4 linked regions of the Notamacropus eugenii genome follow. The protein of the gene in region 1 interacts with the protein of each later gene in a pairwise test. Links are inferred from orthologs where the notes say so. Each region holds a gene or a part of one and is shown in the gene's direction. Other genes may lie near its edges.

Evidence for each region. The genes of interacting proteins can lie anywhere in the genome.
Region 2: the proteins of UBE2L6 (region 1) and RNF144A interact in a two-hybrid assay, tested with the Homo sapiens proteins (2 studies listed by BioGRID and IntAct). The link is inferred for Notamacropus eugenii from reciprocal best matches to the Homo sapiens genes UBE2L6 and RNF144A.
Region 3: the proteins of UBE2L6 (region 1) and ARIH2 interact in binary tests that used the Homo sapiens proteins (3 or more experiments, as listed by UniProt). The link is inferred for Notamacropus eugenii from reciprocal best matches to the Homo sapiens genes UBE2L6 and ARIH2.
Region 4: the proteins of UBE2L6 (region 1) and DTX3 interact in binary tests that used the Homo sapiens proteins (3 or more experiments, as listed by UniProt). The link is inferred for Notamacropus eugenii from reciprocal best matches to the Homo sapiens genes UBE2L6 and DTX3.

Annotation. Positions count from the first base shown.
Region 1 is NC_092873.1:3,196,191-3,203,176, reverse strand, and holds the start of UBE2L6 (ubiquitin/ISG15-conjugating enzyme E2 L6), read left to right. Parts: upstream 1-3,965; 5' UTR 3,966-4,242; coding exon 4,243-4,269; intron 4,270-6,986. UniProt on the Homo sapiens protein: Catalyzes the covalent attachment of ubiquitin or ISG15 to other proteins. Functions in the E6/E6-AP-induced ubiquitination of p53/TP53. Promotes ubiquitination and subsequent proteasomal degradation of FLT3.
Region 2 is NC_092872.1:553,632,911-553,640,055, reverse strand, and holds the start of RNF144A (E3 ubiquitin-protein ligase RNF144A), read left to right. Parts: upstream 1-4,125; 5' UTR 4,126-4,252; coding exon 4,253-4,670; intron 4,671-5,381; exon of another isoform or gene 5,382-7,145. UniProt on the Homo sapiens protein: E3 ubiquitin-protein ligase which accepts ubiquitin from E2 ubiquitin-conjugating enzymes UBE2L3 and UBE2L6 in the form of a thioester and then directly transfers the ubiquitin to targeted substrates.
Region 3 is NC_092872.1:7,474,581-7,481,508, reverse strand, and holds the start of ARIH2 (E3 ubiquitin-protein ligase ARIH2), read left to right. Parts: upstream 1-3,908; 5' UTR 3,909-4,090; intron 4,091-6,928.
Region 4 is NC_092874.1:232,974,102-232,981,346, forward strand, and holds the start of DTX3 (probable E3 ubiquitin-protein ligase DTX3), read left to right. Parts: upstream 1-4,225; 5' UTR 4,226-4,709; intron 4,710-5,590; 5' UTR 5,591-5,645; intron 5,646-6,093; 5' UTR 6,094-6,155; coding exon 6,156-6,168; intron 6,169-6,976; coding exon 6,977-7,245. Other genes in the region: PIP4K2C (phosphatidylinositol 5-phosphate 4-kinase type-2 gamma), read left to right, coding at 1-60. UniProt on the Homo sapiens protein: Regulator of Notch signaling, a signaling pathway involved in cell-cell communications that regulates a broad spectrum of cell-fate determinations.

The DNA of each region.
Region 1 (6,986 bases):
TGGCCACAGGCACACAGTTAAGTGTCAGAAGTGGGTTTTATAAAAGTCTCATTTTAACCTTTAAGATTGTGAAGACTTCTTTCTTTCTTATTCTTTTTTTTTTTTATGACTTCTTTCCAATGCACTTTCAGGTATATTATTTCAGTGTAGTGCTGTGCAGAGAGCCTAGGTCCTGGGCTAGAGAGTTCACTTCCCATTCTCTGTTGACAGATTCTAGCTGGATGATCCCAAGAGACTTACTTAATTCTCTTATGTCTTAGAGTGAAGGCTTAGATTCCTGACCTGCAAGAAATGGTTCCCTACCCTGCATTATTAGCAAAGGTTCCCAACTTGGGGTACATGGAATATTTGATAAGTAACTACTTCGGGATAAGGATATAGACTGGACTGGGGATTTCGTTGGTCTGGGAAACTCCTGTTAGGGAGTTCCTTATTAAAGGAACTTTCCTATACAAATTCCAAGCCTCACAGTCTCTACAGTCTCTCTTAGAGAGTGAAGCACTGAGAAGTTAAGGGAGTCATTCCTCCAGGGTCACAGGGACAATATGTGTCTGAGGAAGGACTTGAATCCAATTCTCCTGACTCTGAGGCCAGCACCTTATCCATTGTACCACCCTTCCTCTGAAGAACTGTAATATACTATTGAAATATTCCAAAAGTAGGAATTAGTGGGAAAAATTTGTGAATAGGATAAATTGAAAAACATTTAACTTTATGATACTAAATGTTATATAACAAAATCTATTTTGATTCCTATTTTACTTTTCATATATATGAACATAGTAAACAGGTTTTTTTTAAAGCAAACCTCATAGATCATGTCTATGATGTTATATTGAATTGGACACAACCAAACAACAACAAAATCTCTGAATGTAAATGTTGACTTGCTGTTGTGAAATTCAAGACTTATTGACATTTAAATTCTTATTAATTTAGTCTTCAAGCTGTCAGGTCTCTTATTTAAATTAAATACTTATTTAAAAAAAATTCTTTTCCATACTGAATAGGGAGTACAGGAAGTTTTTTGCTGAAATCTAAAGGGGACAGTGACCCAAAAAATGTTAGGAACCCTTGGAAAAGAATTTTGGAGTCCAGTTTGTGATCATGGGGGGGGGGGCTGAAGGGGACTTCTGAGGTCATCTGCTCAACCTCCTTACATTACAGATGAGAAAACAGCTCCACAGAGTTGCAGTGACTTGTTATACTAGGTAAGTAGCAGAGGTAGAATTCGAACTCAGGTTCTCTGACACCTAATCCAGCATTCCTACCACAATGAACTTGGGTTTGAATCTTACCTCTCTGTGTAACCCTGAGTTAGTTACTTTCCATCCCTCAGCCTCAGTTTCCTCATCTGCAAAGTGACACTAATCATAGCACTCTACCTCACAGAACTGGTGGGAAGATCAAATGAGAAGATGTGGAAGATTTTGTCACAGCTGTCTAAAACATCATAGCATAATACCATCAGTACTTAGCTTGAAGATCCATTGGAAGAACAGTGCTTTGTGAAGAGATTAGGAAATGGAAGCTATTAAAATCTCATTATCACAAGCCAAGTCTTATGAAGTGTTAGAACTTATTTTTCCTATTTTGCAGTTGAGGAAACTGAGTCCTGGAGAGTTTAAATGATTTGCACATGGCTACCAAGGGGCAGAACCTGAATGATTTCAGAGAAGTCTGGGAAGACTCGTATGAACTGATGCAGAGTACAATGAGCAGAACTAAGAGAATAATTTATACAATAACAACAGTATAAAGAAAAATAAATTTGAAAAGCTTAATGACTCTGATTGATGTAATAAGCAACCATGATTCCAAAGTACTAGTGATGAGACATGCTAACAACTACTTGACAGAGAAGTGATGGACTTAGGACCCAAAAGAAGATATACATGTTTGGATAAAGCAAATGGGGGAAGTTTGTTTTGCTTGGCTATGAATATTTGGGTTTGCCTTCCCTTACCCATCATGGGAGTGGGAAAAGGAGGGATAGGGATAATAGCATTTTTTTACCCACTACCCTAAATGAGAAGACCAGAAGGAATCAAGGACAAGCAGAACTTGCTTGAAAGTTATTTGTTGAACTTATTATGTACTTAAGAAGAAAAACAAGTTGTATACAACCCTACATACTGGAGAATTGCAGTTTCACATACAATCCTTACTGTCTGTTCCAAAATGTATATGGAAATGTTAGTTTTATTTTGTTTTAATTTTATTTTAAAATTGAGCATAAATATAAAAAGAGGGGGAAAACATCTACATGTGCTGCATATGCAAATATAAAAATGAGACAATCCTTACCCGCAAGGAGCTGACATTCTGTTAGAGGAGTAGTGGCCAAAGAAAAGTACCTTTTTGAAGCTAATCCATCTCTCAAAACAGAACTCTGGAGGGAGGCACAGAAGGGAAGGAAGAGAACTCGAACAGATTATAATATATCTTAGGACTGGAAGAAAACTGAAGCAGAAAAGGTTAGTGACTTGCCCAAGAGCACATCATTATCAATAGCAAACTCCTGGTATAAATCTTTACTTCCTGAATCTGGGCCTCATTTTCCCCATTTGTAAAAATAAAAGCCTTAAACTAGATGATTTCAGAGGGCCCTTCCTACTCTGTATCTCTGAATGGCATAACTCAAGGTCACATACCAAATTAAAGTGACTGAAACCAGTCCAGGTCTCCTTATTTGAAGGTCAGTGCTTTTTCCTGTATTTTATAAAAGTCAGCATTTGTACAGCATTTTAAGGTTTTCTTTTCTTTCTTTTTAGAAGCAACTGGGGTTAAGTGACTTGCCCAGGGTCACAGAGCCAGAAAGTGTCTGAAGCTTGATTTGAACTCAGGGCTAGTGCTCTATCCACTTCACTGTCTAGCTACTGCTTGATTTAAGGTTTTCAAAGTGTCCTACATATATTATGTGATTTGTTCTTCATACCAGCCCTGAATATATTATTCCCATTTATATGGGTTGAGAAAACAAGCTGAAAAAAGCTGAGATTTTCCAAATGTTCCACAGTAAATGTGAGAGTCAGGATTAGTTTCAAGTTTTCTTCACTCCAGGTGAAGTGGCAGAGGTTACAACCAGCAATAAAAAAGCAAGCTCAAGATAGGCAAGGAGGGTTGAGGTCAACTCCTCTGCCTGAGGACCCTTACTAGCTAAATTCGAACCCTATATCCAGCCTAATGGCATGATGTGGGCCTGGCATAATGGTAGATACACACTTAAAAAACAAAAAGAAACATTGATGATTTTTGATCTGATATAACTTTGGGGAGTTCCTGTGATGTCAGCAGTGTCAGAAATCCCTCTATGAATGAAAATGGCATCTTTTCTGCCGCTCATCATCTCACAAAGTCCCCTCGGGCACGGAGAGATGAAGTGACATTGTAGGGTCACTCAGCCAGAAGATGTCAGAGGAGAGACTTGGACCCAAGTCTTTCCAACTCAGAAACCAGCTCCTTACTCCCTCCATCATTTCTGCCTCTCTCCTTGTATTCCCTTCCTGTTATATCTATCCCTCTCCTTTTTTTTAAAAGTGGAGTTAAGTGACCTGCCCATGATCCCACAGCTAGTAAGTGTCTGAGGCAAGCTGAACTCAAAGTCCTCCGAACTATAGACTGCAGCATCCATCTAGCTGCTCCCCACCCCCACCCCCTTTCCTCCTAATTGAGACATTCCTTGTAACAAAAGATTGAAAAATCAAAGGAAAGGTTTGCCAAAATCAATGAACTTATCTACAATCTGACAGTATCGCAATATTCCATGCCCTTAGACCCCCCGCTTCTCCTAAGGTAAGTGAGGCCCTTGTTAGTCTCAGCTTGGCCGCTGTCTCCAGATTTACGAGCTAGAAGCTCCCCTAAAACTGCTCAGCCCTGCGGGGTCTGGAGAAGGAATGCACCTGTACCCAGGACTCGAGGAGGCGGTGCCATGGGGAGAAGGGGCGGGGCGGGGGCGGGGCATCCAGAAAAACCTCAAAGGGAGGAGAAACCTCAAAGATAAGCCCAGCCAATTCCTTCATTTTACACATAGGGAAGCAGAAGCCCAGAACCAAGATCACCCAGAGAATTCGCCGGAGTCAGAATTTGAACACAGATCTCGACGTCGGTTCCAGGGAAGGTCCGCGAGACCCAAACTACTCGTAAGGCGATCCCGCCGCCACTCACCAGCCCTCGCCCACCCTCCTTGCCTCTCGGTCAGCCAGGAGTCCCCCTGACTCCCCGCACTCCGCATCCCCAGACATGACAGCAAGCAAGCGCGCTGCGAAGGTAAAAGCTCTGGGCTGCGGTGAGCTAGGAGGGGTGAACAGGGTTGCCTGGTCCTGTCGCGCTCACAGAGCCCTCTCCCTCTGACCCAAGGCATCCTCTGCCTACCCTCTCACACCCCATCCTCCCAGGCTCCTGGTCCTCATCTAACCCCACCCTCAGGATTCCCCTTGCCCCCCCCATCCAACCACTGTTGCCTCCCTCTATCCTCCTCCTGGTCTACCTCATCTGTCCGCTGACCCGGACAGACAGAACACTCCCTGGGCGACCTCTGTCCCTTTCCTCCTGAGTCCATCCTTCATCCGGGAAGTGGCATGTGAGGGGGGCAGGGGAGAGGCCACGGGAACTGGTTTTGAGAGGCAGACGTAGAGGGTTTCCTCTGGTCCCCCCGAGGTGCCTCGGGCTTGGACTCCCTATCAGCCTGCTTTGAATCTCTTTCAGTTTCGTTTCCTGGCTACGAATGACCACAGTCCCCAAATGGAAATAATCAGCCAGCGAGTGTTTGTGAAGGGTTTCCTATGTGCCAGGTATCTCACTAAGTGCTGGAGAGACGAAGGAAAGCAAAGGGGGTTGTTGCCTTCAAGTTCCTCACATTCCAATTATATAGAATATCCTTGTTGTTTGTCCTTGGTTTTCGAAAAGGACCGTGACGTTAGGGAAGGGATGCCAAGACGTGCCAGTGAGTTGGATGGAAGTGAGGAAGAGCTGTGAAAAGTCCCCAGGCTCGCTTTCTCGTAGATGGGGGTCAGGGTGTGGTGATGAAGAGCTCTGAATTCCGAACTTGCTCTCTGTGAAGTTGGGGCAAAAGACGTCCTTCCCCTCTCCCGGCTTCAGTTTACTGCATAGATGGGGAGAGCTAGTCTAGATCTTCTCCAGGATTCTTCTAAAGCCTATGACGCTGTGAGTTAAAGTGAGCTGGCTGGGAGGGGGTCGAACTTTGGGAGAGTCACCCTTGGCAGATCCTTAGCGCCCTGGTCTGGTGTGGCACTGTCCACCTTGGGACCAGGACTGCTGGGATGTGGTAGGCAGCGTGGCATCATTGGAACAGTACTGAATTTACCTGTGAGATGATGGTGTTCTCATCTCAGCTTCGATGTTTACTACAAAGGAGGTAGTATATAAGGGTAGCTCTTTGCAAATCTTAAAGGACCGCAGAATTGTTGTTGCGGTTAAGCAGGGCGATAGAGAGCTGACCTCTCAGTCAGGAACACTTGGATTTCCGTCCTCCCTCAGTCACACATTGGATAACACCGAGCAAGTTTCTCAGCCTTTCAGTACATGAGTTCTCAGTGTCTGTGGTCCCTGGACCTTGGACTCTGAGGGTCCCCAAGACCCTTTCAGGGGAACTGAAAGCTCAGAACTTTTTTTCATAAGAATGCTAAGATGTTCTTTGAGTCAGTCTTCCTTTTTTAGCTATGTAGCTGTCCATGCATCTCAAGAGGGATTTTTTCATATATTTAAGCTGAAATACCAGATACAACAGATTGAATGCAGAAGCAGATGTGAGAATACAGCTGTCTTCAATTAAGCCAGTCATTAAAGAAATTTGCAAAAGTATGTAAGACAATACTATTCCTCATTAACATTTTTTGTTTGGAAAATTAGTTATTTTTCATAAAACATGCTATTAACATACTATAGGATTGCTGTTATTTTCATTGAATAAATATTTTTAAATGATTAGTTCTAATTTGTAATATAGTTATTAATAGCTAGAGCCCACATAAATATTTCTTCTTCTTCTTTCTTCTTCTTCTTTCTTCTTCTTCTTTCTTCTTCTTTCTTCTTTCTCTTCCTCCTTCTCCTCCTATAGGAATGAGGTGCCCAGGATCCAGGGTGAAGGTGATCTGAGTTCTCCACTTTCACTTTCTACTCTTCTAAACTGACATTTCCCTGACAATGAAAGACCTCAGGAAAGAACCGAAGAATTTTGGTTTTGAATTTGTTTATTGCAAAGGAACTCTCAAACTTATGGCAAAATAAGGACAAATTTTCCTCCTGTCAGGGACTACCAGGAGGGCTCTCAGTGTTCATGCTTTAAGCCAACGTAGAGCCACAGAATGTCTGAACTAGAAGGGATTTGCAGATGGTCTAGCCACGTTCTATTTTTTCATTTGAGGAAATGAAGAACTTTCTTGATGTCACACAGTGAATTAATGGAAGAGCTAGGACTGTGGATTCATTGGATTTAGAGCTAGAAGACAAGGCAACTGAAGCAAATACAGTTAAGTGACTTGCCCAGACTCACACAGAGAGTAAGGATCTGAGGCTAGATTTGAACTTAGGAAGATGAGTCTTTCTGCCTCCAGGCTCAGCATTCTGTCCACTTCACCCCCTACCTGCCCGCACTTGGCACATAGTGGGCACTTAAATGTTTGTACATTCAAGACAGTTTGGGTGCTGCTTTCTACATGAAGCCCGTCCTGATCTCAGCTGTTAAAGCCCTCTCTCCTTCAATTACCTTGTATTTATTCTCTATATACTTGCTGTATATGTGTACAAGTTGTCTCAACCAATGGGATGGTTGCTTCTTAAGGGCCAGGAGAATGTTGGGTTTTTCCTCTATATCCCAGTGCCTGTTATATTTACATACATTATATATATATAAAAGCATTTATTAAGGACTTACTATGTGTCAGGCACCACACTAAATGCAGGGAATACAGAGAAAGGCAAAAAATAGTCCTTGCCCTTGAAATGGAACTTACATTCTGATAGAG
Region 2 (7,145 bases), on another chromosome or scaffold:
TTACATGGAAGTCCAAGTCACATGTGGTAGGAGGAGCTTGCTGAATGGGTAGAAGAGGAAGGGTGGAGCAGAGCTAGGAGAAAACTGGTGAGAGCAGTAAAGGCAGAGGTGAGAGAGGACACAGGCAGGCACAGCTAGTGTTGTGAGTGTTTGCATGTGGGAAGGTCAAGGGTGGGGTGGGGGAGTGGTGGCAAGACTTGGGAATGGTATTGTCCCCTGCAGTGCTAATGGGTAATGACTTCTTGGTTTCTATGATGGATTTGGCTTTCTGGTACTGGGATTTGGCTTTCTGGTATTTGAATAAATGTCTTTCTTCTGCCTCCTATATGGAGAGTCAGAATAGAATGACAAGAAAAGAACTGTTTACTGCTTTATTGAGAGCAGGGCTAGATTTTTGGAATACCATAGATGGTATTCCATCTATACAAAGTGTACCAAATGTACCAAGAAAAGGAGCTTGATACTAGATAGAACACAGAAGTAAAAACTACCCCTATAGATCCTCCTTCCTGAACCCTGAGATGCCCTAGCTTGCTCTTTTAAAGGAGAGCTCAAATACTGAGAATTCCCACGTGAACTAGCTAACTCTTTTTCCATCTGATTTTTTTTCCTTCAGCAGCTCATCTCTGCTTTTATACATAACATGATAACCTATTAATAAAATCCAGCCTCTCCTACATACCCTTGCCAATTCTTTCCCTGGTTTTATTAGTATTCCTTACAAACATCTTTCCAAATCTCTAGATTCTCTCTCCTGTAACCTCAGTTCCTAGGAAATTGACTGACCTCCAGATCAGATTAAATAAATACACAGACAGGATTACAGACCCCATATCAATTTGACAATATGTTGGAAAGATGGATCAACAACTATAACTAGGGCATTAATAGATACTGGGCCAGAGCCCTCCCTTAAATATGGAAGCCCTGATAAGTTTAAACATGGGACTCCTATAAGCATCACAGGATTGGGAAGGGCTGAAATATCAGCCAGACAAGTCAAACTAATGATGAAAATTGGACAATTACCTAAAAAAGATCTTGGGGCCAAATGTATTGTTAATGTACTTTTGCTTAATTTGAAGATCTTTCCCACCCATTAATAGGCTGATGTGACCTGTTTAAATCACATGGAAGCCTAAGTCATATGTGGTGGGAAGAGTTTGCTGAAAGCATAGAACAGGAAGGGTGCAGCAGAGATGCAAGGAAGTTAGGGAGAGCAGTTAGGGAGAAGGAGAAAGAGGACACAGGCAGGTACAGCTAGTGTGAGTGTTTGCTCGTGGGAAGTAGGGGGTGGGGTGGTGAGGCTTGGGAATGACATTGTCCCCTGCAGTGCTAATGCGTTTTGACTTCTTGGTTACTAAGATGGATCTGGCTTTCTGGTGTTTGAATAAATGTTTTTCTTCTGCCTCCTATATGGAGAGGATGTTATACTTTTTGATTCAGAACTATGTCAGCATATTCACAGTCACCATCGATGCTGTGAATATTATCTTGGTGACACATGGACCCAGATGGCTCTGGAGGAAAAAGTGAGGCTGATGACTTTGCACAGCCTTCCCTCACTTAAGTCCAATTTATTTGCATGTCATAGCATTACCTCCATGATGTCATGGTCCTCTTCAAGAATACAGGACAAACAACAACATCCAGTCTAACGTTCTTCCTCCTACATCAGGAAACCTCTCTACCTATGTCTTGTGCTTATGGGTTGGGAAATAAGTAATATAAACATCATTCTCTTCAAGTGGGGAGGAATAAAAGAGTTAAAATACATGAATACAGCTTCTCAGTGTTAGAGCCAAGACTTGGAAGATCTTTTGACTTTTAAATACAGTGCTCTTCTTCCAGGCCATACTTTCTTAATAGGATTTTTTGTATCTGTATCTTTCACAGACTTTGAAGATGAACCATGAGCTAAGCCCCAAACGGAATAGGAGCCAGGGTTTGTGGTTATTCCAAACTGCTCACTTCTGGAGAAGTCCATCTCTTTAACATGGCGATTTTCTAGTGATGCTATATGACTACAAATTCTGGAATACTATGATCTCATATTATATTAAATTACAAAGGGACTGAAAGTCAATGAATGGCAAGACACAAGCTGGAGGCAAGCAGGTTTTAGCATAAGATCTACAATGATCAACACAGCAGATTTATAAAGGACAATTATGAATGTAATAGGATGCGGTCCAGTCATGAGCTAGAGCAAAGGACATTCTATTGATATTTTCTGCATAGAAAAAAGAATCAGAGTAAAGTCTCCAGCATTTGGGGAGGGCTTCACTGGAGGATTTTATAAGGCTCAAGACTTGGACCTGAAGGAGACCTCAGAGACCGTTTAGTTAAACTTCATCATTGTATAGCTGAGGAAATTTAAGCCCAGAGATGTTCTGTAACTTGCTCCCTAGATGAAACAAATTATGCATATTAGAGTTGGGATACAAACTGAGCTTCTCTGATTCAAAGTACCATGCTATTTATGCTGTTTTTCACTGCCTCATTTGATAAGAATCCAAAAATAAATAGCACAGGATGAGAAGGAATGAATAACTTAAGTCAATCAATTAACTAGCTTTATTCAATGTCTTTTGTGTTCAATAAGAGGCAGATTGGCTTGGGGAATAGAAAGTCAGTCTACAAGTCAAAAAGGTTTGTGTCTGAGTCTAACATCTGACACATAGTGGCTGGAGGACACTAGATAATCTAGTCTATATCCTCATACCCCAAGCAAAATGTCTATGGCTTTAAGTGTTAAAAGTAGTTGATGGTCTTCAATGGTAAAGAGAATTTTCTTAATGGGAGTTTTCTATGTCAATGAAATCACATGTCAGGACAAAAAGGAAATTGTTTTTGCTTGTTTCTGGGATGCAAATATAAAAGTGAGCCAGTCTCAGCATTCATGGAGCATAGATTTCATAGGGATGATAGGATCTAACATCAAAAGAGAACTCTTAATCCCCTATCAAAAAGGAGGAATAGCTTGGGTTTTCAGATAGGTAATGCAAGACAAATACAAAATAAATACACAATGAGGGTGGGGAAGAATGGGGTCCCTAACAACTGTGAAAATCAGGAATGGCCTCTTGAAAGAGTACCCAGCATATGGGGAGGAAGAAGTAAAGAAGGAGAACATTCTACTTTGGGGGTACATCCAATTCAAAAGAATGGGAATGAGAGATCAAATACTGTGTATGGGGAACAGCAAATAGGTCAGCCTGGTGATGAATAGGTAGAGTATTTGGGGGTCAGTAATGTGTAATTAGCCTGGAAGGACAGGCTAGAGTCATATTATGAATAGCAATAGGGAGCCAGAAAGGCTTCTTGAACAGAAGAGTGGCATCGATATCACTTTAAGGAGATCATGAATCCACCTAAATCGCTAAGTCACTACAGAAATGCAGAATTGTTCTATGAAAGCAGAACTGCACCAGGATTTAGAAGTTACTTTACTAGTTCCACCTCTGCTGACACTGACTTTCTATGTGACCTTTCAAAAATCACTATCTACCTTTGGAAGTCAGCTGCCTTCACTGATCATGATGAGATAATATAGATCATGTGCTTTGCTGCTTGGCACAGGGTAAGTGTTCAATAAATGCTTGTTGACTGGTTGACCTTAAAATGATAGATAAATGTTAGCTATTATCATTATTATTAGTCTCATAACATGAAGAGGTTGAGCGACATGACCTTTTCCAGCTCTGACATTTTATGATTCATTATTACCATTTCAGCTGCTCCTTTCTTGTCATTTCTAGAGAAATGATGGCCAGATGAGATGGAGCTGAGTCATCAAAAATGACATCTGGAGCTGGAAGACGCATTTCTGGAGTATTTCCCTAACAGAAAGTGAGGGTATTTAATGGGACAAGGCAGCCCAAGAATCTATCCCAATGCCTTGCGTAAGGTCAATAGGATGGTAAATGCAGAACCTGGATTCTACTCCAAATCCAATATGTCCAAAGCCCTTCTATAAGCAAGTAGGGGAAGCAGGGTCTGAATTCAAGCTGAGGTCTCTTTTCACTTTAAAGAGGACGGATTAGGCTTCCGGTCTCAGATCCCAGGCTTTTCTTTAAGGAAGGGCCAGTTTGGGTGAGAAGCTAAGAGACGGGAAACTGGCCTGGGAAGGGAGGCGTTCTCCGAGTCGGTACTTCGTCCCCTTGGTCAGCAGAGGGAGCCGCGCTCGCGCTCCTAGGGGGTGGGGGCCAGGCGGGGGTCTTCCGAGGCAGACGCTGCAGCAACCCCCCGGATGCTTTACGGCGTCTTTGTGCTCCGATTAGCGGCCTCTTCTCCTCCCCCCTCCCCCCCTTTCACTCATCCCCCCGCCCCCCACCCCAGTAGCACTTCAGGGGCTGGGGGGGAGCCACGGTGCAATAAAGAGAAGCCTCCGCAGACGCCCCGAGCCAGACCTGGCAGCGGCAGGCGGCTGAGTCCCGGAGCAGGGCCTGCGCGGGCTGGGAGCAGGGGGGCGTGGGGAGCGGTGGGTGCCCGGAGGAGGGGCGGCGGCGGCGGCTGCAGCTGCTGCAGTGTCCGCTCGGGAGGGAGAGAGAGAGAGAGAGAGAGAGAGAGAGAGAGAACAGACAGAGGAAGGAGGCTGCGCAGCCCGAGGAGGCCGTGCCCGTGCCCGCGCCCGCGCCCGCCACGGCAGAACTGCGGCAAATACCCAGGTAAAGGAGGCAGCGGCGGCTCCGACCCCCTTTGTATGCGCACTGCGGACGCCTTCGGGAAGGACTCTGGGGGGAGGAGGAGGAGGAGGAGGAGGAAGAGGAGTAGGAGGAGGGAGCCCGTCCGTCAGTCCAGCCGCCCGCCCGCCTCTCTCTACCATGGCTTGCTCTGTCGCATCCAGAGCAGACGCCGCGGGAGCGGGAGGAGGTGGCCCCTGCCCGGCCGAGCCTGGCGCTCCCCGCGGCGGCTCTCGGGTTCTGCCCCCGCCGCTGCGGACCACTCTCCGGTCCACTGGCAGCAGGGCGGGCGGGCGGGCGGCGTTTGCCTTTGGCCTTGACTGCCCCGAGAGCTGGTTTGTATATCTGTGCAGACGGCGGGCCGCGGTGCGGGGAGGAAGGGCGTGGGGGCATTCTGGGGAGGTGGGCAGCGGTCTGACCTTCGAAGGACTGGGGTGGGGGTGAGCCTAACGGGGCCGGCGCCTCTTGCTTCTCCGGCATTGTTAATGCTTTTACATCCTTCTTCTCCCCCTCCCCGCCCTTTGCTGTGGGGGCTGTCTGTAGGTGATGGGTGGGGAGGTTGGCGTAGACCCGAGCTTTGCATCTGGCTAGACCCCTTCATCCCCGCGTTCTTTTCGCCACCTGCCCCGAAGACCAGCCCTAGCTTTGGATTTGGAAAGGGTTAGGGTGGGGTCGGGTGGGGGGGGGGCAGGGGATTGTCTAGGTCAGGTTCATCTGCGAAGGAGAGTGGGAACTGGGAATAGAGGTCAAGGTTGCTGGGTTGCGTTCCTGCTTCCTCTCAGCGTTTGGAGAGTTTGTGCAGCTCAGCTCTATCCAGTTGTGACAGCGCTGCTCCCATCCCCACCCTGCTGCCCTTCTCCTTGGCTCGTCTGCTTGCTCTGTGCATGAAATTGTCAATAGATAATCAAAACCCAGCTCTCGACTGGCCAAGAACTGGGCTGGCTGCTGCCTGCATTCCAGACATGGCGGGTCGCCATGGGGGTGATGGGTTGGGGGGGAGTGGTGGGAGGATTGCGGTTGTGTTGCTTGTAAATCTGAAGAATGATAATGCATTTTGAGAGATGGGTATGGCCGGTTAGTGGAGAGGTGACCCCTCCCCACAATCTGTGCTCCTTTGGCAGAAAGATTCCTTTTATTCATTGCAGAGAGACTAGACTAGGAACTATTTAATTTTCTTTGTGCTCCCAAGGCTCAGTGCTAGTAAGCACTTTTTAAAGGCTTGACCATTGAATCCCAGTCGAGTATCTACTTGGGCTATAAAGATATGTGGTTCTTGGACGAAACCTTAGCTCTTATATCTCTTTCTTCTTCTAGGGTTTGGGCTCACAACCTTACTATAAGACAGGGGAACAGCATGACGTAACACTTCACTCGATTTGTTCTAACGTGTCATCTTATTCTAGCACTTTAATGAAGATTAAAAGTCATAAAAGTAGAATCATAGAACATTAGGGCTAGAAGCTATTTTAAATATGATCTAATAATCATGATATAATAGCTCACATTTCTAAAGCACTTTATTATTTACTAAGAGCTGTTTTCCTCAAATGGTTCTTCTGCAAGGTAGGTGCTGTAAGTATTATAATGTGTTTTATAGAAGAGAAACCCAGAGAGGGGAGGTGACTTGCTTGAGGGTTTTCTGCTTCTTAGTGGCATAATCAAAACTAGAATTCATATCTCTTGCCTCCTCTAATTCTCTTTCAACCTTTTCTAGCTAGGCTGTCTCACTTACTTCCTTAATGATTTGGCCCAGTTGGACTGTTTCACATATTTCTATAATATACTCCTGAGGTTTTCCCTGGGTTAATAATGGGTTCTGCTTAAGGGAAGTTTTAATATGTCACATATAAACATGCTTTAAGATATGTAGAGACCACTCTCATTTTACCAAGGGTTGTAAAACTGTAGTGTTCTAGGCTGTATAAGCCTTACATAATCCATACCTATATTGTAAGGCTTTCAACCAGTTTCTTGAAGCTGAAATAGGTAATTTATATGAAGGTGCCTTCTTTATGCAGGACTAAGGAAAAATCATATGTGGGAGTTAGTCCTGGGAATTTCTTCTTCCTCCTTTATTTTATCATTTGTGAAAATATGAATACATCAAGGATCTGTGATTTACTGTGATTCCTTTCATCTATAAATTAGTAGAAAGGTAGATGGATTTAAACCTAGGTCTTGTTGATTTCAAGTACAGCATGCTTCCTTGAAAATACATGAATAATTTCTTTATGAAAAAAACAAAATTAATGAGAAAGGCTTTAAAATGGGGGCAGATGGACCAAGGCATTTCAGTATTCTAAAGAAATAGCTCTGTGACCTTGAGCAGTAACATTTCTCTGGACCTCAGTTTCTTCTTCAATGAAATGATGAGTTTGGATTAAATGATGTTCTTAAAGCCCTTTTCAGCTCTAAAAAAAGTCTGTTTCTGTGATTGTCTTCTAGGTGGAGCTCTATTGC
Region 3 (6,928 bases), on another chromosome or scaffold:
TTTCCATTGATTGTACTCGATGAGCCTACAAGGCATGAAACTTTGTTAGAATGTTGAAAGTATCTCCCTGTGAAGAATGATACGTTGTTGAGAGAACTAAAGACATTTCCCTGATTCATGGCTTATTGTTACTGTATCCCAGGTAGAAGAAGTTCCTGCCCTTCGACACCTGCTGCCCCAAAAGAAGAATCCTGAGTGGCTGCTTTTGGATAAATGTACAAAGCAGAGACAGACATACTCTCCCCCATAAAGTCAAGAGGAATCCTGGATAATGTCAAGTTTCAGATCCAAGCTTTGGAGAGGCATTGATATAACTTCTCAACCTTATGGTAGCCATTGAGCATTTTAGTATTCAGACTTCTATCTTGTCCTTGTGTGGCCAATACCTTGGCAACCCTCTTCCAAAGCTAGGCCAGCTCCATTTACCCCTAAGGGTCCTAGGAACAACTCTGAGGAGTTGGGGTAGCTTTGTCTAATACTATCAGCTTGAGCTTCCATTCTGGTCAGTTGTCCTCCACCATTAATTACCAATACCTGATACCTCAGTTCCATTTAGCCAATTAACATCAATTAACTATGAGATATTTATGCTTCAAAGGTATAACTAGAATAGAAACATAAACATTTCCCTTCAACACTTTCCTCAGGTCATTCTACGCTGTCACCCTAGTCTCTGGGAGGAGTGGGCTCAGATTTTGTTTGTACACAGCACTTGTTTTGAGTTTTAAATTTTGAGTTTTAAATTTTCTCAGTCACCTCCACCATACCACCCCTTAATTACCTTTTGAAATTCACAAGGTTGTAGCCCCTAATCTCCTCCACTTAAAACCAAAAACCAAAGCTAGAGACTAAGAACTGAAGTCCGTATTCACAGAACCCATGCCATCCTTAGACAGGGAGGAGCTAAGACCTCTTATCACTACAACATTGTTGCTTACTGTAATGCCACCAGAGTGGAAGAGTCAAAACCAAGAGAAGGGACAATGTTGACTAAGTACTTTTGGAATGTACCCCTAATTCTAGCTACTTGGCCAAGGACAGTAAAAGAGATTCCTATTTACTATATAGTTACACCAGTTACAGAATGTCTGCATTCTCCAAAATCCATGTGGGAAGTGCATCAGCAAGTCAAGATTGGACTTACTGGCCAGTCCCCCATTGTACTCACCATTTGCTCTTGGCTTCATTTCATCTCAGGATGAGAGGGAGCCAGTCCTGAAATACATATAAAAATGGAATTTACCAGGTGGTACCCTTTGCAAGTGAAGGAAATGTGGCCTTCAGCATGGACAGGAGCAGTAGGATAGGACTAAAGTCGCAAACAGTACTCAATAGGAGATCTAGACTCTGCTTGGAAGGGGAGTTACCTGTCCAGAAATCCTAAATGTGCTTCCCTTCTTGGGTACTCCAAGCCCTAAGAGCAGTGTGATGTGGCTATGTGTATATGTATGTATATGTGGCTATATGTATGACTTGGTTTCTGTGGATAAAAGAACTTACTTACCATTGTTGGGGAAAGCCAAATGTACTTATGCTTAAGAGTAATACCATACAGTTACATAGCTAGAGCAATTTCTGTGGAAAGACACTCAAAAACATCAGGGTTTGGATTGTTTGTCATCTCCAAGTATTTTTTTCTTGGATGGGAGATTTCAAACCATAGGGTATTTCTACAGTTCTGGAGGACTTTATGATCCTTGGAGAAGTGGGACCCACCAGTGATGCAGGAGAATTGTATTAGCATCACAGCATCTTAGATTTAGAGCTGGAAGTCGAAGAGCTTGGACCAGGTCACATAGCTTGTAAATGTCTAAGGCAGGATCTGAACTCAACTCTTCCTGACTTCATGTTCAGTCCTCTGACAGTCAATAAAGATTTATTAAGCACCAAACTACTATTAAGCACCAGGTACTGTGCACAGGGGATACAAGAAGAGGCCAAAAAAGTCCTGCCCTTAGGGAGCTCATGAGCATGCACACGTTCGTGTGTGTGTCTAACCTTTCCTACAAAAGATAGGTTTTTACATGGGACTTAAAGAAAGTCAGAGAAGCCAGGAGGTAAAAATAAGAAGGGAGAGCATCGCAGGAATAATTGAGAGCCAGGGAAAATGCTTGGAAAGGAGAAAGGAGTGTCTTGTTCGTGAAACAGCAGGAGGTCAGTTTCACGGATCAAAGAGTACATGTAAGTGGAGAGAAAGATGTAAGAAGACTGAAAAGATGGGGGGGAGGTGCTAATAAAAAATGTTTATTGACTGTCCTATTCACTCCATTAACTGTTTCTAGACAACTCTGTAAGTTGTTGATGTGTTTTCTGAATACGTTTATGAGCCCTGTGAGACCTTTGTATTTCTTGTGTTAAAAAAAATGTATTACTCTATACCTGATAAACACGACGTTTTGTTGAATTTTATGCCAGAATTGGGGGTACCCTTTTGCCCACATCTGTGGAGACCTAGGTGGGAACTATATAGTATGAGATTTCCCATAGTAAACTTGAGAAAATGGCAATGTGTGTCAGTTACTTTGGGGACAGCTTCTGAGACTGACCAAGCAAGACAGTACTTCAAGAAAGGAGATTCCCAACCCTTTTTGTGTCATTGGACCCCTTTGGCAAGTCTGGTAAAGTCTATGGATCTCTTCTCAGAATAATGTTCTTGAATATATAAAATAAAATGTATAGGATTACAAAGGAAATCAATCAGATTGATAAAATATTGATGAAAAATATTTTTTTAAATGTTTAGGAAGTCCCATGACCTAATAGAATATAAACTCATTGTGAATAGTCACTCAGTCAACTAGCACTTATTAATCACTTACTAAGGGCCAGGCACTGTGCTAAGTGCTGAGGTAAAAAGAAAGGCAAACAATCCCTGCTCTGAAAGAGGACAGTCTAAAAGGGTAGACAACATGCAAACCACTATATACAACAAACAAGGTATGTACAGGATAAACTAGGGGTAGTCCTCGAAGACAAAGCACTAAGAATTAAGACTCAGAAAAGCTTCTTACAGAAGGTAGGATTTTAAGTGAGAACTAAAGGAAGCCAGGGGCCATCTCCAGTAGTCCTGATCTATATCTGGCCATTGGCCCCAGATGACTCTGGAGGAAAGTGAGGCTGGTGACTTTGCAAAGCCCTCCCTTACTTAGAGCCAATTCACCCGAGGTCAAGGTCCTCCTCTAGAAGGAAGGTCAAACAACAAAGGAAGCCTCCTCAGTGCTCAGCCCTGGGTTTGACTCATGGAAAGCAGTGTTTTCATTCATTCATTCACTCCTAAGAATTAATTTTACTGTTAAGCCCCCCTGCCCCTTTTGAAGGCAGATGGATGATCAAGTCCACCAGTAAGATAAAGGTCATCAGCTTCTGCTCACCCCCACTCTTTTGGGTAAGGGAAGCTTCAGGATGCTCTACATGGATTTTAAGCTAGGCGATGATAAGAGGTCCTGGAGGGAAAGCCTTGCTCCCTGCCTCCCTCACTTCTACCCCACCATCAGCGGTGGATGAACGTTCTTCCGCACCGCTCTCCAACTTCGTGTTTCACGGAAAGAGCGCTGCGTTCGGAGGCCCTCTGAGTGCCTGCAGCTTGCTGCCTCTGTGATCGTGCCTCAGTTTCCTCATCTGAATGAGGCCCCTGCAACCTCTAAGGTCTCTAAGATCCCAAGGCGATGACTTTTCAGCACTAGAAGAGACTGGTCTCCAGGGTAGGAAGCAGTCAGGGAAGTCTGGGGTCGGGGTGAGGGCAGTGCCTCAGACTGGGGGGGAAGGAGGGGCCCCGGCAGGACCCCCCACAGCGTTTGCTTCTCGTCATCTTCGCTCGGGAGAGCGACCGCCTCACGGGGAAAAACCCTGGAACCCGCGGGGGCAGACCGGGAAAGCTCGGCCACCCTGACCCCGGCCCCGGAAGTGACGTAACCGCGACGGGCCGTTTCCGGCTCAGGCGTCGGCGGCGTTTGCCGGAGGAAGGAGCCCGAGGGAGCCGCGTCGGTACAGTCCCCTGCGCCTCCGGTCCCTTCTTCCCAGTCCCCCGTCCGGCCCCGGCCAGGCCTGGCCCGGCCCGGGGCACATCGGCCGCGGGGACCCCGGCGTCCGGGTAAGTGCGAGAGGAGGAGCGAGTGGGCGCGCGGGGCCTTGGCCTTGGCCTTGTTTACACCTGACGGGAACCGGAGCCGGAGCCAGGGCCAGGGCCAGGCCGGAGCCAGAACGGGAGCCAGGGCGGCCTCGCCGGCTCCGACCTCTCCCCGGCGGAGGCCCGGGCCTCTCTTCGGCCCTACCCGGGGCAGCCCGCTCGGCATGACACCCCGTGCCCCCCAGACCCGGCCGGGCTGCCAGCACCAGCCTCCCCCGCCCCGGGCCCAGCTCGTTCTCTCTTGGGGTAGTTAACTGCCGGCCACTGGCCCTTGGTCCACGGTCAAAACCCTGGTCAGGTCTGGGAGGCGGTGGGGAGGGGGACACGTGTGTATGTGTGTAGACGGGGGCATGGGGGGCGCTTCCCTTCCTCCCGGGCCCTCTGTCTGGCTCCCCCCTGCAGCTCCTTTTCCTTTGAAACGTGTGGAGGGTTCAGGGTTTCTGGGGAGATGCCCTCCGGTTAGGGTTAGCCTCTTGTTTAGGGAAGTTAGACCCGTTCTCCTCCTACACCCCCCTCCCCCCAACAGTCCCCACCTTTTTTGTGTGCCTTTAGAGATCCTTAGGAGATCGTGGCTTGAACTGGCCCTACCTAGTCGGTGTCTGCTGAATGTTTTAAGGAGTTAAGCCCTCTTTATGAATCCTAGTTTCTGAGGTTTCCCCTGAATAAAACGTCCATGCCTGTAAACCAAACATCAGTGAAAGTGACAGGCCTGGCTCTCGGATTGCCGGAAAACAAAACGACACATTGTTGTCTCCTAAGTGTGAAATGTCAAGTTTCTTCCTATGGGGGGCTCTATATGGGGCATTTTGTTCTTAGAAATGTACATTTGCTCTTCGTTGCTCCTGACTCTTACCCATTACCCTTATTGCCATTTTGTATATATTATTCACATGTTGTCCAGCACAGTGCCTGGCATATAGTAGGCACTTAATAACGCTTGTTGATTGACTAAAAAAAACTTTGTAACTGTTTTCAGAAAGAATAAACTTTTGGTTCTGAAAAGTGAGTAAAATAGGCTACAAAGTGAATAATGGCCTCGGTGGGCAGTGGGCAAGAAAAGTTTGACTCAGTTACCAATTCAGATTCATTTTTATCACTTTTACTTGTCAGGTGGGTCTGTTTTGGTCATGTGATAGGAAATGGCCTGGTTCTTCTATCCCTGTCAAGCTGGGAAACTAAGTTGTTGAATCATAGTTTTTTTTTCTGGCCTAGATTTTTTTCTCTGCAAAATAGAGAAATAGGTATCCTCTGGAAAACGGATCAGTTAGTACTAGCTTTTTCAGATATTGAAGTTAGTTAACCTTTTCAGATTAAAAAACATACATTTCTCAGGGTTGGTTGTTTTTTTTCTTTTGGTTAATCTTGGAATGATTTATGGGCTCAAAGCCAGATTTAGTGATGGAATTTAGAAGTGGGTATTAAGTCTCTGAACTTTGTTGCATTGTGTTTTGGCATTTCCAGGTCTTTATTTTATTTCTTTGTGGGAAATAGGGTCAGTATATCTTGAGTGTCACCCATTTAGGTGTGTGAAGCTGAAAAGTTTCTAGTGTGCATTGAAACCTTGGGAGATTGGCCTATCTGTAGTGGTGGTGCATGTCTGAAATCCCTGCTACTGGGATTCTCAGCTTCTGTAGGGTTAGAACCATTCTGGTGTCTGCAAGGATTCTGTCATCAATACCATCCTCCCATCCCCAGTGCTAGCAGGATGTCTAAGGAGGGATGAACTGACCCAGATCTGAAAAATGGAGCCAATTAAAATTTAGTGACCAATCACTATTGGCATCAGTGTGGGCATAGCCACTGCCCTTCCAACCTGAACCACATAGGTAGAGCTAGTCTCTAAAAAACAAACCAACCTAGAGAGGGAACACAATAGAATTTCGACGTATTATTACTTGTGTTGATTGGTAATAGTACTTGTCTCTTCTGTTGTGCTCTCTGGTTCCTTAAGGAAAATGCAGGGTATGTGCAAAGCAAAAATATATCTTAATTTGTTATAAAAGTGAAAGATTTTTATGTGTGATTTCTGAATTTTTATTTATGTATGATTTCATAGGTTTAATGAGGTTCCTCAAATGAACCATGTAATTGATTATGTGAAAATATTTTGTTTTGTTTTGGATTTTTATTTCATCAGCATCAAGAGCATGCTTACTAGCAAACAGATGTAATTTTTATTGACATAGTATGCATGTATATTCTTAGTTTACTCCCCTGTGGTTCTATTCACTGTTTTCATGATTTCTGAGATCAGAACATGATTGCCATTGTGCTGTATATTTTGTCTTCATGCTTAGACTGTAAACTTCCTAAGGGCAACAATTAATGAAAGTATTTGTATCCCTAGCACTTAGCATTATGCTTGATACATGCATTTATTTCATTGGTATATGTATTTTAGTTTGGCTCTATGATCTCAGTGAACCCCAAGGAAAATGACCTTTGTGCTGGAAGTGACAAAACAAAAATGATTAACATGTAGTTGATACCCAAGATAAATAAGGAGTTAGTGATGCAGGAGATAGAGTGCTAGGCCTGGAGTCAGGAAGAAAGACTCAGCTCCCTGAACTTCCTGAGTTCCAATCCGTCCTCAGATACTTAATAGTTGTATGATCCTGGGCAAGTCACTTAACCCTATTTGCCTCAGTTTCCTCATCTGTAAAAAAGAACTGGAGAAGACAAATTGCTCCCAGTATCTTTGCCAAGAAAACTCTATAACAGGTCATAAAGAGTTGGAGAAGACTGAAAAATGACTGAAGATCACCACCAATTCATTGATGAATTCAAGTCACCTGTAGTATT
Region 4 (7,245 bases), on another chromosome or scaffold:
GTTCATCCTGATCAATATGCCAAGCGGTTCCTAGATTTCATCACCAACATCTTTGCCTAGGAGACTAACTGGCACTCCATGATATCTCCTTAGATTGGGTGGGGGAGGAAAGAGTGACAGGGCTATAGGGGGAAGACTGAAGGAGTTACAGGTGTCCTCTTCCTTAGCTAAGTCCAGGTTGCCTCTCCCCGCTCCCAGAGTGATGTCCTCCCTGCTTCTTGTCCTACCCACACCAGCCCCAGAGTCAGCTTCATTAGGGTTTTACTGAGGATTTTTTTTTCACTCCCAAGTGCCTTGATCTTTGTAAAATGTCGTTTTATTTTTGTAAAATAGGAGGAGCTGAATTGGTTGGGGGGAGGGGTATCTTCTGACCCTGGCAGGACCAATGACTGGTTCCGGATGTTGCTCTGGCCTGGAAAGCTTGAGCCTAAGCATGGCTTGAACTTTGCTGTTTAACTTTATTGGAGGCATAGAGGCTCACTCTTCACTCTTCCAACATTCCCTCATGTACCTGGGGCAGATGGGGATGCAGCAGTGTGCATAAAGTGGTGTAGCCAGTCTTGCTCATTGAAGTGGAGGGGTGTGTGGAAGATGCAGCCAGCAGGTTGGCTTCTCACTGGGTTGGGGACTTGAGGGATTACTTGGCTTTGTCAGGGACTTTGAATGGTTTCCTAGCCCCAGTGTCCTGAGAACCTAAGTCTTTTAGCATTCTCTCTGTCTAGGCCCGAGTTGGGGTTGGTGTTTGGTTGCTGCTGCTGGATACCAGAGCCTCTGTCCCTACCTGGGACTGGGACCATTTCTTTAGGCATTTAGGTGGCTAGTCTGGGAGACTGGGGTAAAGAAAGATTCTGGAGCTAAAAGCTCACTATATTTAATATTACTTTCTTTTTGTCTACTTACTTTTGGGTATTGTTCCAGGGACAGGGGAATTCCTCAACCTGGACCAAACCTGGTTATTTTTGGGGTGAATTGAACTCAGCACCATTCCTTCTTCCTCTCTCCCTTCAGCTTTGTCATCAGCCTGCCCCCTTTCAACTTGCCTTGTGCTGTTGTTATATCTCCCAGAAATAGGTGACATTGTCCTCCTTATTCCCTACCTCCTGAGAGGAATCAGCCATAACTGTCCCTCCCTGAATTATATAGGAGTAGTATATCTAACTGGGGGTTGAGGGGCATGAGCATAGGGGAAAGGGCTATAGACTCACTTTGGAGTTGAGACAATCACTCCTTCCCAGGTTTCTCCAGTATTGTCCAAGGTTATGGGTCAGTGCAGTACTCCCTGTGTGGCTGGACTGTTCTGTCAATAAGAGATAGCCCTGTGAATGTTTTCTCCCACCTACTCCCTTGCTCCCACTTTTATTCTTCAGGAGGAGGAAACTGAAGTTGTGTGTGTGTGTGTGTGTGTGTGTGTGTATGTGTGTGTGTGTGTTATGGCTACCTGATTTGTGTGTGTGTGTGGTATGTGTGACATCTAATATGTGCCTCCCTCTTATCCCTCCTCTAGGGGCCTGGTTGAATTTACTCCTTCCCCCTATCTTTCCCCTGTCTAAATGCAATAAAATTTAGGACACCTGCAACTGCCTTTCTCTAGAAATTGGTTTTCTGACCATGTAGCTGATGCATCAGGGGCAGTATGGGTGTCTTCATTTGTTGCAATTTTTTTTTTAAAGAAAAGAAAAAATAATAATCTTGCATATTCCCATTGCTGTCTCAACATAGAAGTAAATTATTAAACCTGAACTGGTCCCTCTTTGTGCTTTGTGTATTTTTGAGATTCACTGTGGCATGGGAGTACTAGACATGGAGTAAATAGACACTGCCTGGATGGGAATCCCATATTACAAATTTAGTAGTGTATATTTTTAGCCAAATAACTTAATCTCTCTAATCTTCCTTATCTGTGAAATGGGTATAATGCCTTTAATCCTTCACAAGGTTGTCAAAGGGATCAAATGAGACTAAAGTGCTTTGGAAACCCTAAAATACTATAAAAAAGCTGTTATTGAGTGTTGGGGTTCAGAATAAGGAAGAACGGGGAGCTGAAAAGTCTAGCAGCAAAACTGTGGTGCCCTAAACCTGGAGACTATGTTTTGAGGATGAGTGATGATGATCCTTAAAGGAAAATGGAATATTTGGGGAAGGGGAGAGGAGAAGAAAAAGTCTTGGGTTGCCTGAGGTTTTTGTTTTTTGCCTTAGGAATATAATAGATTATATTTGAAGAGGAAAAGAGAAGTATCTCTCAACTATGAGAACTTTGAAGTGCCAGATATTGAACTTGGAGGTTAACCTCCTCTGGGATCTTGATTTCTTGGAACACATAGCCCTTCAATAAAATGCATGTGTCCTTTCAGCAGAGAAGCTGAGTAGGAAGCAAGCTTCTTGGGAAGAAATCTTCTGACTGCAAGGGAGAGAGTGGGTGAGGGGAAGGGATACAGCTGGGTCCTGGGAAAGCATGCTGGAGAAAAATCAGTCATCTAGTCCCAGGGGTGGGAAGAATGAATTGATAGTGCTCTCCCAACAGTCCCCTGGGATTTCCAAAAGCCTCCTTATTAAATTCCTCTTTGGCTGCTGGGAAAGAAAAAAAACAGTTAAAAAAAAAAAAAGACTTGTAGATGAGGCCCTAGGGTGAACAAAAGGGTACAAGGTTTTAATCTGGAATGCAGCACAGATTTGGATTAGGCTGGGTATTTTGGGAGGAGTATTAGAAGGGCTGAGCAGCAAATGAACTTTGAATCCCCTTTTTCAGGGCACCTTGATAACATTCTACTTCCTCATTTTCCCTTTCTGTTAATGTGTGGGCTAAAGAATTTGTAAATTCAAAGTTGGGCTCTGACTTTGGCATTTGGAGATGGGTGAGGATTATTGTTGGAGGGGACTTCAATTTGAGAGCAATACAGGGTTATTTTAAGAGTCATGGTATAATTAGGAAAGTGTTGACCTCAGCACCTGGAGAACTGGACTTGAATTCCCCAGGTAGATGTTTACTAACTGAGTGGCCGTGAAAAAGACTCTTCCTTGAGTAGGACCAGGAGAACACTAACATAAAGACTTAAGAATTCTGATGTTGAGAGACTCAGGAATTCTGATCAAAACCATGACCCACCATGATTACAGAGAATTGTAGATGAAATCTGCTACCCATTTCCTAGCAGAGAGGACTCAGAATGCAAATTAAGGCAATGGTTTTGACCATGTCTAATATGAGAATTTGTTTTGCTGGATTATATATGTTTTTAACAGGTTTTTTTTTTTCTTGCTTCTCAGTGGGGAGGGGGAAAGAAGTGGAAGAGGTCAGATCTCTTGGAAAAAAGTAAAATTTTTGTTTTTTGAAAAATAAAATACTAAAAATAGAAAAGTTGCTGAAATTGAAAATTCTGTTCCTTAGGCTTTTCCATTGTAAAAGAGGAATAATAATTTACCATCTACCTTGAATAATGGATATGAGCGAAGCTCTTTATAAGACTTCCAAATGCTATAGAAATGGGGTTGAGGGGTGTATTATTCTCTTAATCTATTCCACCTTTCTGCCTGCGTTCCTGTCTGGCCTGAACGCTAAAATGGGTAAATGATAAAGAGTGTCTTCCCTTCACCCAACTTCAGGATCTTAGACTCAAAAAGTTGAAAGGGACCAGCCATCTAGTCCAGTCCATTCATTTTGCCCATAAAGAACGGAGCCTCAGATAAGTCAGATGGCTTATCCTAGGTCACACGGAGAACAGGGGCGTATTTTTAATATCCATTATTCCTTCATTTCAATTTTCTGTGGCTCCATCTGCAATGAACATCCTAAAAGTGGGTAAATGGTCGAAAGGGGGCTCCTTCCACCCAATCTCATAAATCTAGGACAGAGAGCCGACGGGCATCTTCGAGATCATCTCCCTGTCAAGACCCGGGGCAGAGAAGTCAGTGACTCGCCCTGGGCCACACAGCTCAGAGGGGTCTCGGGTGGCCCTTGAACTCAGGTCATCCAATTTCCAGGTCGATTCGCTCGACCAACCCGACTCCCACAAAGCCGAGGTTGCCCGGGCTCCGTCCACCCCCACCGGCAGCCGCGCAGTGGACTGGGAAAGCAAAAAGGTGAGAAAGGTGGAAGGCGGTGCTGGGGAGGGGCACAGGTGAAGGAGGGCGGGGGGGCTTCTTCCCCGGGCTCCCAGGCTGGCTCGCCTCTCCCTCCCTCACCGCCTCCCCCAGCCCTGCCCTCGCTCCCTCCCAGCCTCCCTCCCTCGCTCCCTCCCTCCCTCACCCCTCCCCGCCCTGCCCTCGCTCCCTCCCTCCCTCGCTCCCTCCCTCCCTCACCCCTCCCCGCCCTGCCCTCGCTCCCTCCCTCCCTCGCTCCCTCCCTCCCTCACCCCTCCCCGCCCTGCCCTCGCTCCCTCCCTCCCTCACCCCTCCCTGCCCTGCCCTCGCTCCCTCCCTCCCTCTCTCCCCGCCCCCAGGAGCGTCCTCACGGAAGGAGGGCTGGGGAGGCGCAGGAAGGACGCTCCGGGATTGGAGGTGGAGCCCGAGAGGCGGCAACTGTCGCCTCCGATCTGGAGGAGGGGGCCGCTGCTGTGGGCCCCGCCTCCCCTCCTTTAGGTCCCCCCTCCCCGGTCCCCCTCCCCATCTTCATCCCTCTCCCTCCTCTCCCCCCCACCCCGTTGCTAAGGTCCGGACCGTCATCCCAGCAACAGCCTCAGTCATGTGACCGGCGATGGCGGCGCTGACGGGAGGTAGGTGAGCCCGGCGGCCCCCCCTCCCCCCAGCGCCCCCCGGACGCGGGCTCGCGCCCCTCGGACCCGACTCCCCGGAGCGCGGGGACCCTCGCCTTTCCCCACCCGCGGCGGCCGCTTCCCAGCCGGGCGTCTTCCCCTGGGCTGCGGGGTCGGGGGGATGGATGCTGGGGAGGGTGCTGCGGGGCCTCGGCGGGGCCTGCCAGCTGCGGGGCCGGGGAGGGGGCCCGGGCGTGTGCGCGCGGGGTCTGTGTGTATCCGTGTGTGCGCCGGGGCAGTCAGGGCCCGGTGTGGCGCGGGGTGAGGGCTTCGGGAAAGGGGCGATGGGGACTCGGGGATCCGGGCCCACTCCAGCAGCTTCGCTGGCCCCGCCCCAATCTGGGGGGTGGGACCGGCCCGGTAGGTCACGGACCGCCGGGCCCTTCCCTCCCCCCGACATTTCCTTAGCCAAACCAGTGTCCGGGGTTGCCCTCCGCTGTCACAGGGCTCCCAGCCTGGAGCCACCCTGCCCCAGGGTTTGGGCTAAGAGCCCTTAGGGGTAGACAGCCTCGGGGTTGGGAGGGGGATGGGAAGTGGAGGGGGGGGTGGATAGGATGGAGACACAGGCAAGGGCAGCCTTTTCTCCCAACAGAGAGGGTCAATGTTTGATTTAGCCAGAATTTAAACTTGACCCCTAGTTCAGTCCCGAGGTTCTCCTCCTAGCTGGATGAGAGATGGAGACCTGAGGAAGTACACCTGTGAGCACGAAGGGCATGCCCCAGTTTCTAGGAACTAGACCCATGTATGAATATTCCCCATCCATGATAGCCTATGCTGATGGACAGATGAGATACCTGGTCTTAAACTAGTAAGAGTGAACTATGGATATTTTTTTGTTATAGAGTCTGCTACCACTTTGTCCACATCTTCAACAGCCAGCAAGCAGGAGTGATTAAGGTTAGACCTTAGGGAGGATTTGCAGGCCTTGAGGGTATACAATTTGGGAATCAGGAGGAATTGTGAGAGCAGTGGAAGTGCAAGAACACAGAGGAAATTCCTACCTGTTTGAACTGAGGGCAAGGGGGCAGGATAATGGTTAAGACAATTGACAGATCAGTTTTTGAGACTTTTCCAATATCAGTTATTCCTCTTTTCTCGTATCTTTTCACTGAAGGAAAAAGGCCCCTGAAGTAAGGTCATAGTGTTAGGGATGAAAAGAGGTTTGAAGCTGGAGTATTGAAGTTTCAGTCTCCACAAAGCTTCTTTTGGAAAGGGGATGGAATACCAAGGGTGGGGGAAGAGAAAGGGAGATGCCGGGTGCAATTGGCTGGTGTCAAGGAGGGAGGAGAAAGGGAGGGACAGGTAAGGAAACAATTTCTATTATAACCCTATTGCCCTCACCCAGTGTTGGGGTCAAAGTCCAGCTGAGTGTGGAAACTTCCGGGATTCCTCCTGCCACCATCGTCCATGGGCTCTCCAGGTACCAGTCCTCCAAGTAATTTGATGCCTACCCATCCCTCACTGTTCCTACCCCAGGGATCTTGTTTTCAGTGCTTCAGTAACTTTGACTCTAGAAATCCCAATTCTTCCACTCCCAGGGCTGCTCAAGTACATAGGGTCTCTGAGTTAGGATGTATCCAGGAAGGTTCCCTTATTTTCTCCCCAACTCTGGACAGAGAGACTCACCACCACCACCATTAGATCAGATATTTCTAGCCCATAAGTAGGGACATAGAGAGAGAAAAGGAAAGCCAATTCTGGATATGCCAGGCTGGGAAGCCTCCCTGCCAGGGTACATGACTTTACCCTGGACAGGGAAAAAGGTAATCAGTGTAACTATAGGGGAAAGTGGGATCAATTCATATGTTTGGTTTAAATGGTAATAAATCAATTGAATCTCCCATTCTGAAAGAAGACCCTATAAGACTGCTGGGAGTTGTGGGAGGGGGGACCAGGAAGAGATACTATGCCTTGGGTTTGGGATTGAATGAAAATGAGAAGGCCATTGTACCTTGAAGCAACTTTCCTTACATTGCAATATAATCTTTCATCTTGAGGAATTACCCTAGTCTTTACTGGGAGAACTTTGGTTAGAATGCAGTAGAATGGAAGGGATGCTGAACTTTGGAGATTAAAATAAAATGGGTACTTCTTTGGTGAGAGGTGGTATTGGGTTGGGCTTTGGAATGGGGCTAATGCTAATCTCACGTAGGTAGTGGGAACTGAGAGTAGAGGCACTGGTATTTGGCAAATAGACCCTATCCTGAAGCCCTTTCATTCTGGGGCAGTGTCGTTCGTCCTGTCCAGGATGGCGGCCTGTGGGGGCAGCTGCAAGAACAAGGTGACGGTCTCAAAGCCAGTGTGGGACTTCCTGAGCAAGGAAACACCAGGGCGACTGGCCCGGCTTCGGGATGAACACCGAATATCCATCCTCATCGATGGAGAGACGTCGGACATCTATGTTCTCCAGCTTGCTCCCCAGGGCCCCCACCCAGCCCCTCCCAATAGCCTCTACCTTGCTAGAAAGGCTCTCAAGGGGCTGCTGAAGGAGGCAGAG